3 linked regions of the Mus musculus genome follow. The protein of the gene in region 1 interacts with the protein of each later gene in a pairwise test. Links are inferred from orthologs where the notes say so. Each region holds a gene or a part of one and is shown in the gene's direction. Other genes may lie near its edges.

Region 1 (3,975 bases):
GTTATCTTTAACAATTAAAAAAAAAAAAAAAAAAAAAGAGGGGCCTGGAGAGATGGCTCAGAGGTTAAGAGCACTGACTACTCTTCCAGAGGTCCTGAGTTCAATCCCAAGCAAACACATGGTGTTTCTGTCTGGTCCTGTCTCCCTCTCCACTCCCCTTACCCCTCCTCCTCTCTTAAGACTCAACCAAACTGAGTAGAATTCAGAGATCTGCATGCCTGTGTCTCCTGAGTGCTGGGATTAAAGGAATGTGCCACCACACCTGGAACTAAATTTCTTTACCTGAAACTTTCTCTGTACCATGCTGGCCTGGAACTCATGTCTGTACTCCCATCACTTATGATTGATTCCTTTCCAGAGCAGCCATGTTGCTGGATTAAAATTCCTCTACACAGCCGGGCAGTGGTGGCGCATGCCTTTAATCCCAGCACTTGGGAGGCAGAGGCAGGCAGATTTACAAGTTCGAGGCCAGCCTGGTCTACAGAGTGAGTTCCGGGACAGCCAGGGCAACACAGAGAAACCCTGTCTCAAAAAAAGACCAAAAAATCCTCTACGCAGATCTTTGAAAGAAAAATCAAAAACAAAAAAAAAAAAACCAAAACAAAACAAAAAACCAACCAAACAACAACAAAATCAGAATGATCCAGTCATCATGACGACACCTGTAATTTCTTGGGGTTTTTGGTGTTTTGTTTTTTGAGACAGTTTGTGTGTGCAGCCTTGGTTTTCCTGAAACTCCCTGTGTAGATGAGGCTGGCCGTGAATCCCATCAAGTGTTGGAATTAAAGATGTGGGCCATTACTTCCTGGCCTTTTTGGTTTTGTTTGGTTTGGTTTTGAGCTAGGGCCATAAGTTTTCCCAGGTTGGCCTCAAAAACATAGCAATCCTCTTGCCTCAGCCTCCAAAATCCTGGATTACAGGATTTTTTTTTTTTAGGATTTTTTGAATACTACAAAATTCCACTGCATATGTATTACAGACCCCTGGTTTGAGATCACCCTTCAAGACCCTATTCATACTGAACACACAAGCCCACATTAGAAAAGACAAACCAGCTAGTGGCCACCATTAGCCTCTTCTGAATTGAGCCCGTCTGGCCCCGCCCAGGACCGCAGAGGTTTCTAAGGACCCGCCCACCGGTGCTAGTTTCCCAAAAACCCGTGCGGCAGACTCCAGCCGCTCCAAGATGGCGACTCCCATGCATCGGCTCATAGCTCGAAGGAAAGCGTAAGTGAGATGCTTGTGGGGTGTGCAGGAGGGCTGGGGGCGTGCAGACGCCTGTCCGCTAGCTAGTGAGCGGGCGCAGGCTGCTGAACTGAGCGGGATTTGAAGAGAGTTCGAAATGAATCCAAGAATTGGTCGTTGGGTGGTCTGTGTTCCTCTGTCCGGTCCACATGTCAAGGGTAGCCTGGATGCTTGATCCCACATCTTCCCTCTCAAGATCCCAAACTTTTCCCTCTTCAGCGTACCTGCCTCCTTCCTATCGCCCTTTCTAGAAACAAGCCTGTCTGCAATGCCTATTAATTCCCCATCGACCGTTTCACTTTCTGCAGCTCTCACTGTAAATAATTATTTTAGTACAATCACTCACAGACAGTTTCTCTGAAGAAAAATGTATTCAAGCTACGCAGCTTAACAGTTTTATTGTGGAACCTGTTGATACTCTAAACAAGTACAGCTAGTGGTTTAAATAGCTTTGTAGGAGCCGGATGGTGATGGTACATCCAAGCATTCAGGAGGCAGAGGTAAGCAGATTTCAGAATTCGGGGCCAGCCTGGTCTACAGAGTGAGTTCCAGGACAGCCAAGGCTACACAGAGAAACCCTGTCTCTCTAAAAACAAAACAAAGTTAAGCTTTAAAGGGGATAAGAGGCTGTGGTGAGGAAAGGCAAAAGGCCCAGTTCAAGTCAGTTCTAGAAATTCATCTGTGAGGGGTGACATTTGAAAACAGACTAAAAGCCATAGAAAGGACTGAGTCAGCAGAGGATTTGGGGAAAGATAGGAAATGGTATATTTGCTATGAGTCTGTTAGAATTTGGGGGTGGGTTGGGCAGATTTAGAGACAGGATTTGTCTGTGTAGCCCTGGCTGTCCTGGAACTCACTCTGTAGACCAGGCTGACCTCGAACTCAAGATATCTGACTGCCTTCAGTATGCTGGGATTAAAAGCTTGTGCCACCATGCCCAGTTTGAATCTCAGTAACTATCAGTCCTGGTGGCAGATGCCTTTAATCCAAGCACTGGAGAAGCAAAATCAGGTGGAGTAGCACTGAGTCAAAGCCAGCCTGATCTAAAGAGCAAACTGCAGGCCAGCCTCAGCTGTGTAGGGAGACCCTGTCTCCGAAAAGAAAAAAAACCAACCAACTCAATAACTACCCATTCAGTGGTGTAAGCGATGTAAGGGGCGGAGACCAGTTACTTGAACATGAATTTGAGTCCAGCCTGGGCAACATAATAAGACTTCATCTTAAAACCCTCCAGTAATGTCATACCCACTCTGCATGGCTGTGTGACATGCATGTCATGTTGTATTTCTCAGACCTATCAAAAGTCATAATACGAACCTGAAAGGAAACAGTTTATACATCTAATACCTGCATTGCTTCGCACTTTGCTTTTGACCTAAGCTGTGGTTTATGAGTTTAAAACCCGAGTGTTGGGCCTGACGTTGGTGGATTGTGCTTTTGATCTAAGCACTCAGGAGGCAGAAGCAAGTGGGTCTGTGAGTTCAAGGCTAGGCCAAGCTGGGTATGGTGGCTCACACTTTTAATCCTAGTATTGTGTGGCAAGTGTCTTTAACCCACTGAGCTGTCTCACCACCACCATTTTTTATTAGTAAGTTAAAAAGAATGATAGCCAGGCACAGTGGCACATGCCAGCACTTGGGAGGCAGAGGTAGATCTATGAGTTTGAGGCCAGTATGGTCTATAGATGGAGTTCCAGGGAAAAAAATCAAAAGCAGAATCAACCAACCAAATGAACAAGCTTTTTCATTTATGTGTGAATAGGAGTAGAGGTCAGAGGACAAGTCGTTGGGGGTCAGATCTTTGGGCTTACAGCAAACACCTTATCCACCCACCCTTTTCCCAGCCTTAAAAGTGTTTTAATGGGTTAGGGGGTCTGGCTCAGTAGTAGAGCATTTGTGAAGGAGGCTCTGAGTTTGATATCTAGCATTACAACAAATAAGGACCTTCATTATCCTTTGTCTTCTGAGCTAAAAATGTTGGTCCGAATACATGATTATTGGAATGGAAAAACTTAAAAAAATTTTTTTTAAAGATTTATTTCTTTATTATATGTAAGTACATTGTAGCTGTCTTCAGACACTCCAGAAGAGGGAGTCAGATCTCGTTACGGATGGTTGTGAGCCACCATGTGGTTGCTGGGATTTGAACTCTGGACCTTCGGAAGAGCAGTCAGGTGCTCTAACCCACTGAGCCATCTCACCAGCCCAAAATTTTTGTTTTTATTATTTTGCTTTGTTGAGACAGGGTCTCTTGCTCTGTAGCTCAGGCTAACTTTAAACTCAGAGCCATCCTCCCACATTGGCCTGCAAAGTGAAAGACTATAAGCATGAAATACCGGACTGGGCTTAGAAGAGCAAGACTCAGTTCCTGTTGCGCCCCAGGTTGCACGCTTTGAACACCGTTTGTGTGCTTGCTAGAGTCAACATCACGTGATACTTTAATGCTCTTCCAGGTCAGAAAGTGTCCCAAGACAAAACTTAAGGCTTGTATTCTGTTATTTTCTTTGTAGTGAAGCCAATAAGCAACATGTAAGATGTCAGAAATGCTTGGAATTTGGACATTGGACTTATGAATGCAAAGGGAAAAGAAAGTACCTACACAGACCTTCGAGAACGGCAGAGCTGAAGAAAGCTTTAAAAGAAAAAGAAAATAGATTATTGCTGCAAAGGTAGGTTTACATGTAATATCCAGGGGAACTTATAAAAATATTTACAGAATCAGCTGACCTCA
Region 2 (4,000 bases), on another chromosome or scaffold:
TTTTTTTCTTGTTACTTTGTCTTTTCAATGGTGCTTACACTTACAAAAAGAAAAAAATCATCTGGCGTTTGTAATGTGCATATTTCCCAAGGTTGCCCAAAAACATGAGAAAGATGCTAATGGGAGCATCCCAAGACCTTCGTGTGTGTGTGTGTGTGTGTGTGTGTGTGTGTGTGTGTGTGTGTGTGTGTCTCGCCTCCTCTTCTCTAAAAGAAAGGAGTCTTCCTTGAGTAGGAGCCCCTGACTGAGGCCATCTTAGGCTGGAGAGTCTGGTCTCATTGGCACTCCGGGATCCCACAGGCGCTGGGATTTTCTTCTGAGGGAACTTTCTGGAGCAGGTGGGTGTGCTTCCTATTGACACCTGTGCTCGCTGAAGAAGGGTTGAGTAGCCGAACGTAACTGCCTGTGGGCACCTTCCGATTCGAGGCTGATTCACAGCATTTTTGAGCTTCTCCTGAAGCTCTTAGGTCAACCTGTGCCCCTTTGCGGCAGGACAACTCATTTACTGAGCCTGGACATGAGGTACGTAGAGGCGTTCGAGTCGGACTCGGTAGACGAGCACTAGAGTGCCCTGCTAGATCTCAAAGAACGTGTAGGATTCCCGACGTGGTCCGGCGGGCGGGCGCAGCTCCCTCGGCCACGGTATGCGCCCCTTGGGGACCTGCAGAACTGCTGCCTCTCTGCTAATACCATCTTGCTCGAGGTGGTCACGTGCGGGCTACAGTGGCGCGCTTCGCCAGGGACGGATGGATCAGGGACTTCGCGGGGTCCCGAGCCGCTCTGTCCAGAAGCCCGAGGTGAGGTCTTTCTTTCCAGAATCCCAAGCAAGGCCAGGACGCGCCTCCGGAGCCCGAGGACGCCGTCTCCAAGCCGTTCTCCGTCCATGGCGCCGTCGGGGATCAGAGGCTCACGCCGCGACGCCCAGCGCCACGGCCTCGCGGGTGTCTTTCGGCGAGGTGCGGACAGGGGGACGCGAGCAAAGCGGCGGGTTATGGACCCGGGCCCGCGGACGCGTCGTCTCCCGTGCAGCTCCAGCTCCGCGAGCCGGTGGGCTTGGGGAGGCCGGGTCGGGAGTGCCACGCGCGCGAAGCGAGGGGCGCGGGTTGCCGGGAGGGAGGACCGCGGAGCTGGGGGAGGGAGTGGGGGGGCCGCGGGCGCATGCGCCTTGCGTCCGTGCCATATTGGAATGAGTCGGAGCGCGGAGCGCCGCCGCCGCCGCCTCCGCCGGAGCGCGGGTGCAGGGGGGCGGGGAGAGCTGCCGGCCGCCCCGCTCTGCCGGGCTCAGCAGGAAGGAGGGCGCGAGCAGCGCGAGCGGAAAAGGCGCCCCGCGCGGGCGAGCGCCAAGAAGGAAAGAAAGAAAACCGAGCGAGCGGGCGGGCGTGCGAGCGAGCGGGGAGAGCGAGCAAGCGCGCGCGCGAAAACTCCCGTCAGGTAAAAAAAGCGGGGCGGCCGGCTGGGCCTTCCCGCGCGGCGGCCTGAGGGGTGGTGCGGCGCCCTCCCAAAGAGGCCCAGCAACTTTGCCAGCGGGAAGCGCCGGGAGCCAGCGGGCAGCGAGCGCGCGATCTGAGGCGCCAACGGGCGGCGGCGGCGCGTTGGGCGGGGGGGACGACTGGAGTGGGTGGGGGGACGCGGCGCCCGCGCGCGCGGCCTGGCGCGGTCCCGAGGCTCGGCGCGTCGGCCGGCGGGGGCTGCGGGGACGCGCCCGGGCACCTCGCGGACGCGGCGGAGGCCGGCGGCGCCGGGAGAGAGAGAGAGAGAGGGAGAACGGGCGAGCGGCGCGCGTCAGCCCAGCTGGGCGCGAGAGGCCAAAGTGGCCGGGTGGCGGTAGCGGGCTCCCAACTTGCAGGCTCCGGTCCCCTGCCCCCATCGAGCGGCCTCCCGCCGAGCCCCCGCGGACCCGCCCCCCCGGGCTCGCTCCGGGCGGGGCGCGAACCCGCAGCCCGCGCGGCCGCTCAACTTCTCAGGGCCTAGGCGGCGGCGGCAGCGGCAGCAGCAGCAGCGGCGGCGGCGACAGCAAGCGCGGTGGCCGAGTCTGAGCCTCCACCGCAACCGGTGGCTCCGGCCTCTCAGGCGCTTCGCCTGGGGAGGCACCGCCGCCCGACCCCCTGCGCGGATCTGGGGAGCGTCCTGAGGCCGCTCGGCAGGTCCGTGACCGTTTCGTTTTCTGTTCCCAAGTCTTGTTTTGTTCGCTGTAAAGACGCTGGAGGGGCGAGCCCTGTGTCCTGGGAAGCAAGGCCTGCTCTTTGCGGAGCAGAAAAGCCTTGTGAGACTCGGGATAAATTCCCGCGGAAAGGATAGACGTCGTGTTAAGTTTCCCCCCCGAGATGCCAGCTGTTCGCGTGGGGTCTCAAACTAAGCTGTCAAAGCCAGGTCATCTTTAGAGCTTGCGGTGCAGTGGGGTGGGACGCGTCCTGTAGGGCTTTTTTTTTTTTTTTAACTTGGTGGGCGCTCTTCCCCGCGGGTCACTCACAGCAGTTACTGGCCCCAAGTGGTGTGTGTCTTGTGATTGCTGTATTCATCAAAAAGATCTGAAGGAAGTAACATGGAATTAGTCATTATCTGCGTATGGCCTCTCCTGAACCGCGATTTTTAAGATGTCATACTTTATTTCATCTGAAGCAAAATGAATGCTTTGAGCGTGTAACTGTTGTGTCAGCTGTCTAGATGGGGTGGAGGAGGAGGAACGTGTTTTCGTAAGTACACATTGGGGCCTGTTAACTCGCAGCAAATGAACTCTCTTAGGCCACAGGTAGAGTCAGAGTTCAGATTTGTTTGCAGTGTCAGGAACAGCCAGTTGGAACTAGAGGGACCTGAGAGAAGGAGCCAGTTGTGTTATAAGGTTATTACTCAGTTACCATTGGCGAGCCACTTTATCTTTGGGTAGGTGTCTTACCCAGTGTAGTTTTTTGTTTTTTGTTTTTGTTTTTTTTTATCTTCCTTATTATTTGCAAAAGTGGGATAAGTAGATCACCATGCTTTGGGTTCTAAAATTTGGAGACTTCTTAAAATGAGATTTTAAAAAAGTTTTGAAAGGTTCTATCTACATAAAATCACTCACAATATGTGTCTTTTTAAAAATAGATTGGAAAAAACATCTTGTTAGCTAAATCCAGAATAATTCTGTGGACTTTATTTGAACACAGACTTTTAAAGAAGGCATTTCAATATATTTAAGAAGTTACACCTTTCACAGTTTAACAATGAAATCGGGAAAGGACAGTTCGGCCTTGTTTTACATATGCATAAGTCTTGATGGCCATATACACATTAAGATACAGAACAGAGCATTTCCAGCCCTCCCCCCACCAAGGGATTCCTCTAATTGAGTAAACACCTGCCCTTTCCCTAAGGCAACCTCTGGCCTGACTTCTAACTCAACCAATGGATCTTGTCTGAAGCAGGACCCTTTAGAACGTGAAAGGGCAGTATTAACTATTGAAGGATAGCAGGTATCCTTGGAGATGTCATTTTGGTCCTGATGCTGTACTGGTGTAGGGTTCCAGTATCTACAGGGTCTTAAGACTATGACCTTTGGTCTTTGTGGTCAGAAGGACTCCCCCCCCCCCCCAAGACAGGATTTCTCTATATAGCCCTGGCTGTCCTGGAACTCACTCTGTAGACCAGGCTGGCCTCGAACTCAGAAATCCGCCTGCCTCTGTCTCCCGAGTGCTGGGATTAAAGGCATGCGCCACCACACCACTGCCCGGCTTCAGGAGGACATTTTTAACTGAGCAGTTTTTGGTGTGTTAGGATTGTGGTTTCTGGGGGTCTTTATGTTTATAGTCGTTATATTATTATATCATTTCCCATTTTGGGATACAGATTTGTAGAGAGTAGGTTTGAAGGAAGAAATTATGAATTTTTGAACAAGTTAAGAGTTAAAGGTGTCAGATGAATTAATTTTGTTAAGCTTAGAATTTGCAAAGACAATTGAATGAAAATTGATTTTTTTAAAAGTCTAGTGAATTCATAATATGGGTATACTGCTTTAACTACCTTT
Region 3 (4,018 bases), on another chromosome or scaffold:
TGACCTTGAACTCAGGATCCTGTAAGCCCTATCTGCAAAGTGCTGGGGTTAGCTGGGCTTGGTGGCCCACACCTTTAACCCTAGCACTCGGGAGGCAGAGGCAGGTGGATTTCTGAGTTCGAGGCCAGCCTGGTCTACAAAGTGAGTTCCAGGACAGCCAGGGCTATACAGAGAAACTCTGTCTCGAAAAACCAAAAAAAAAAAATTCTGAGAGTTGTGGCTTGCTTTTGTTTTTCTAGCACCCGAGAGAGAGAGAGAGAGAGAGAGAGAGAGAGAGAGAGAGAGATATGGGATGACTGCTTTTCATCCAAAGTCAACCCAAGTCATACTGGTAGATTGTCTCAAAAACATCAAAACCAAAAATGAATTCACTTAGTTACCCAGAACAATGACATGAAACTATAACTGCACCATCTGCTGAACACATTGAAACCCTGTCTCTTATCTTTCTACAAAAAAAGAACCACAGGCTGTGGTTCTAGCAGCTGGCAACATTGAAGCCCAGGGCTGGGACTCAGCAGAACTTCCTCCTTTTGTTCTCTGAGGCCTTTTTTTGTTTGTTTGTTTTTGTTGTTATTTTCCGAGTCAGAGACAGGGCTGGTCTGTGTGGCTCTGGCTGTCTTGGAACTCACTATGCAGACCATGCTGGTTTCAAACTCAGAGATTCACCTGCCTCTGCCTCCTGAGTTCAGGGACTAAAGGTGTTGTGCCATCATGACAGAGCTCTCTCTGAGGTTTTATGTAGGGTTCCCTAAGAAGCTAATATTGTCTTTAAATTCTGATTCTCTTCCTCCATTTCCAAAATGCTAGGTTACAGACAAGTCTACCCATCAAGCAGGCACTTGGTGCACATACACTGAGGCAAAACACTCATACACATTAAAAAAAAAAATCTTAAAATTTAAGCAAAACAACAACAAAAAAAAACAGTGAGAGTTTATCTCGTTGGCTCAGGTCCTTGCTTGGAGCTGACCCCGCCTCGGTCCCGCCCTAAGGAGCATTTCCGCTGCGTCTCCGTATTTCACCTGTATGTATTTCACAACGCAATGTTTTCTCCCTAAGGCTCCGCCTGGCGGCCAGCGCAACGGTTTCCTCCTTGTTTAGTTGGACCACAGCGATTGACAAGTCAGTTCTCCAATCATCGTGTCAAAGTGATCACATAATTATTAACTAGGTCACAGGGGCGGTGCGGAAGTATAGAATGAATAGGAGTGACCAGGAAGTGCGAACCCAGACTGAGAAGGAGGACAGGAGCGGGCTGGCGATCTGGGAAGGTGACAGGGCATCTGGCCTCCCAAATTCCATCTCTCCTCTTAGCTGGGCCAGGGATCCATTTATTCCTGAGAACTAAGAACTCCATTTGCTCTTTGGGGGTTGTGTGTGTGTTCTAAGAGTTTTGGGACCTGGAGTGTCTTTCTTGATATTCAGGATGGGATTATTTGTTTGTTTATTTATTTATTTTTATTTATTTGTTTATTTTAGCTTCACTTCAGGGGTGCCCCCGGGGCGAGCAGGGAGTTTAGGTCCCATCTCACACTACGGATGCTTAAAGGCCTCCGGTCCCTTTCCAGGGAGAGGGAAATGAGACTTCTCCATCCAGGTGAGATAGTGAAAGTGGGAGGGGCCCTGGGAAGAGAGTTCCTGTGATTTAAATCCTGGGCTAGAGTAGGCTATGAGGATGCGGGAAAGAAAAAGGGAACTTTTTTTTTTGTTTTGTTTTTGTTTGTTTGTTTGTTTTTGTTATTTCGAGACAGGGTTTCTCTGTATAGCTCCAGCTGTCCTGGAACTTACTTTGTAGACCAGGCTGGCCTCATTCGCCTGCCTCTGCCTCCCAAGTGCTGGTATTAAAGGTGTGCACCCCCACGCCCAGCAGGGAACTTTTTTTCATTTCCTTTTGTTTTGGGTTTGACACAGGGTAGCTCTAGCTGTCCTGTAACTCTTTTTCGACCAGGCTGGTCTGGAACTCAGAGATCCACCTGCCTCTGTTTCCAGAGTGCAGCCCATTTTTAAGTGGAGGTTTATCTGTGAGAGTCTTGGTAGGGTGGAGGCTGTAGGGTGGGGCTCGGGTTCTCGAAAATCCTCCTCCCTTCCTGGAACCTTCAGACTTTGCCTGGTTTACTTCCTAGGCTTGAGCTAACATCTCGACATGTGGAATCCTAATGCTGGTAAGTTCCTGGGGGCTCTCCTCTGACCTGCCCCAGCCCATTTTGCAATGAAACAGGAAGTTTCTATCTATCCCCGCAGCCCCAAGCAAAAGCAAAGCCACCGGACCACTGCTAGTTACCAAGTTCTGCCTTTCCATAAGGCTTAAGAACGGTAGTGATTTGTATTATGTGTTGATAGAGGTTCCGGACAGTTCTAATCTTTATTCTCGGATTCTTCTTCCAGGACCGAATCCATATCCACCCCAAGTTGTGTGCCCAGGAGGTTCCAATCCTGCCTGTCCACCACCTCTCAATCCTGCCTTTCCCCCTGGCCCCTGTCCTCCCGGAATTCCCCAGGGAAACCCAGCTTTCCCTCCGTGTCGTCCCCCTTATCCTGTACCACAACCAGGGTGTCCAGGATACCAACCCTCAGGTCCCTACCCTCCCCCATACCCACCACCTGCTCCTGGCATGTGCCCCGTGAATCCTCCGGCTCCTGGCATGGTGGGTCCCGGAATCGTGATAGACAAGAAGACTCGGAAGAAAATGAAGAAAGCTCATAAGAAGTCGCACAAGCATCACAAGCACGGGAAGGTCAGTGTCATCTGGAGCCTGGCTGGGGAAGGAGCTCCGTTCAGAGGGACCAGGGGTGATCAGGAGTTGGGGAAGGACTTTCACGGTTTGTGGGCACAGGCGATGGTGTGTGGGAGCGGTAGCCCGCAACCTTGTCGCTTTAGCAGATGTAGATGGTTTTTCCTTTAAGTAAGGGGATCCTCCTGAAAGGAGTTTAGTAATATTGAGGCATCAGATCACTCCCATCTGCCAAGGAAAAGTGAAGGGGTGCGGGGAGGATTTCTGTGCCAAAAGCCCTCGACCTTCTTTACCTAACTCTTTCCCAGTAACTTCCCTCACCCACCCCGGGTGTATCCTTTGGTAAATTGGACACACCCACTGAGGTTGTCTAAATGTCAAAAGAGTGACAAAGCACAGTGACAAAGCATAATAGTTTACTGAGTGGTCATATGGCCCTTAGTTCCTGGATTTTCTTTATCTCCTTCAGTATTCCCTGGTACTGAGTTAATTCCCTGGACGAGCCTTCTGTGACTCAGCCTCCAGCAAAGCCTGGGGTGAAAGGGGATTTTCCTTCACAAGACCAGTACAGTCCTTCCACAGGAACCCATTAGTGAGGGGGGGAGTTCCCCTGAGGACTCAGGAAGACCTCAGTCTGAAACTTGAGGCTTCGAATAGACTTTATGCCCGTGTTTGTTTGCTCCGTGGATCTGGGCTCTAGTTCCTGAGTCTGGGTCTTAGGTAGACATGTGGGGAGTAGGGAAGGAAATGAGACACTAACCAGGGAGAGTACCCCGAGAGTCTAAAAACATTTTTTTTTTTTTTACGGTAGTTGATGGAGGTATGTCTGTGTGGATCCTGGGATGGGATTTCTCCAGCCATCTGTCTGTCTCTGCCATCTTCCCCACTTTTTCCCCTAGTGGGACTTAGAAATACAGCATGGCCCACACGGTGGCCGTTCCTACCCTCCCTGAGGTGCAGAGAGATTCTAGTTTGTCATTCTTTTTTTTTTTTTTTTTTTTTTTTTTTTTTCAACACAGGGTTTCTCTGTATAGCCCTGGCTGTCCTGGAACTCACTTTGTAGACCAGGTTGGCCTTGAACTCAAGAAATCCGCCGGCCTCTGCCTCTGGGTTTAAAGGCGTGCGCCACCACCTGGCTAGTTTGTCATTCCTTAAAACAAACAAGGAGGGATGATTAAGGTAGCAGCAGCCTCCCACACCCTGCTCCACTTTCCTGGTCCTAGCTAGGTGTGGAAACTTGGTTGGAAGGCAATGTGTTGAGGTTGAGGACAATTTAATCCATT

What was found. The genes of interacting proteins can lie anywhere in the genome.
Region 2: the proteins of Zcchc10 (region 1) and Sfmbt1 interact in binary tests that used the Homo sapiens proteins (3 or more experiments, as listed by UniProt). The two-hybrid records come from large-scale screens. The link is inferred for Mus musculus from reciprocal best matches to the Homo sapiens genes ZCCHC10 and SFMBT1.
Region 3: the proteins of Zcchc10 (region 1) and Prr13 interact in binary tests that used the Homo sapiens proteins (3 or more experiments, as listed by UniProt). The two-hybrid records come from large-scale screens. The link is inferred for Mus musculus from reciprocal best matches to the Homo sapiens genes ZCCHC10 and PRR13.

The regions. Positions count from the first base shown.
Region 1 is NC_000077.6:53,323,515-53,327,489, forward strand, and holds the start of Zcchc10 (zinc finger CCHC domain-containing protein 10), read left to right. Parts: upstream 1-1,174; 5' UTR 1,175-1,186; coding exon 1,187-1,227; intron 1,228-3,754; coding exon 3,755-3,913; intron 3,914-3,975.
Region 2 is NC_000080.6:30,714,445-30,718,444, forward strand, and holds the start of Sfmbt1 (scm-like with four MBT domains protein 1), read left to right. Parts: upstream 1-1,170; 5' UTR 1,171-1,431; intron 1,432-1,675; exon of another isoform or gene 1,676-2,144; intron 2,145-4,000. UniProt on the Homo sapiens protein: Histone-binding protein, which is part of various corepressor complexes. Mediates the recruitment of corepressor complexes to target genes, followed by chromatin compaction and repression of transcription.
Region 3 is NC_000081.6:102,457,982-102,461,999, forward strand, and holds the start of Prr13 (proline-rich protein 13), read left to right. Parts: upstream 1-1,188; 5' UTR 1,189-1,274; intron 1,275-1,482; exon of another isoform or gene 1,483-1,600; intron 1,601-2,126; 5' UTR 2,127-2,146; coding exon 2,147-2,165; intron 2,166-2,388; coding exon 2,389-2,738; intron 2,739-4,018. UniProt on the Homo sapiens protein: Negatively regulates TSP1 expression at the level of transcription. This down-regulation was shown to reduce taxane-induced apoptosis.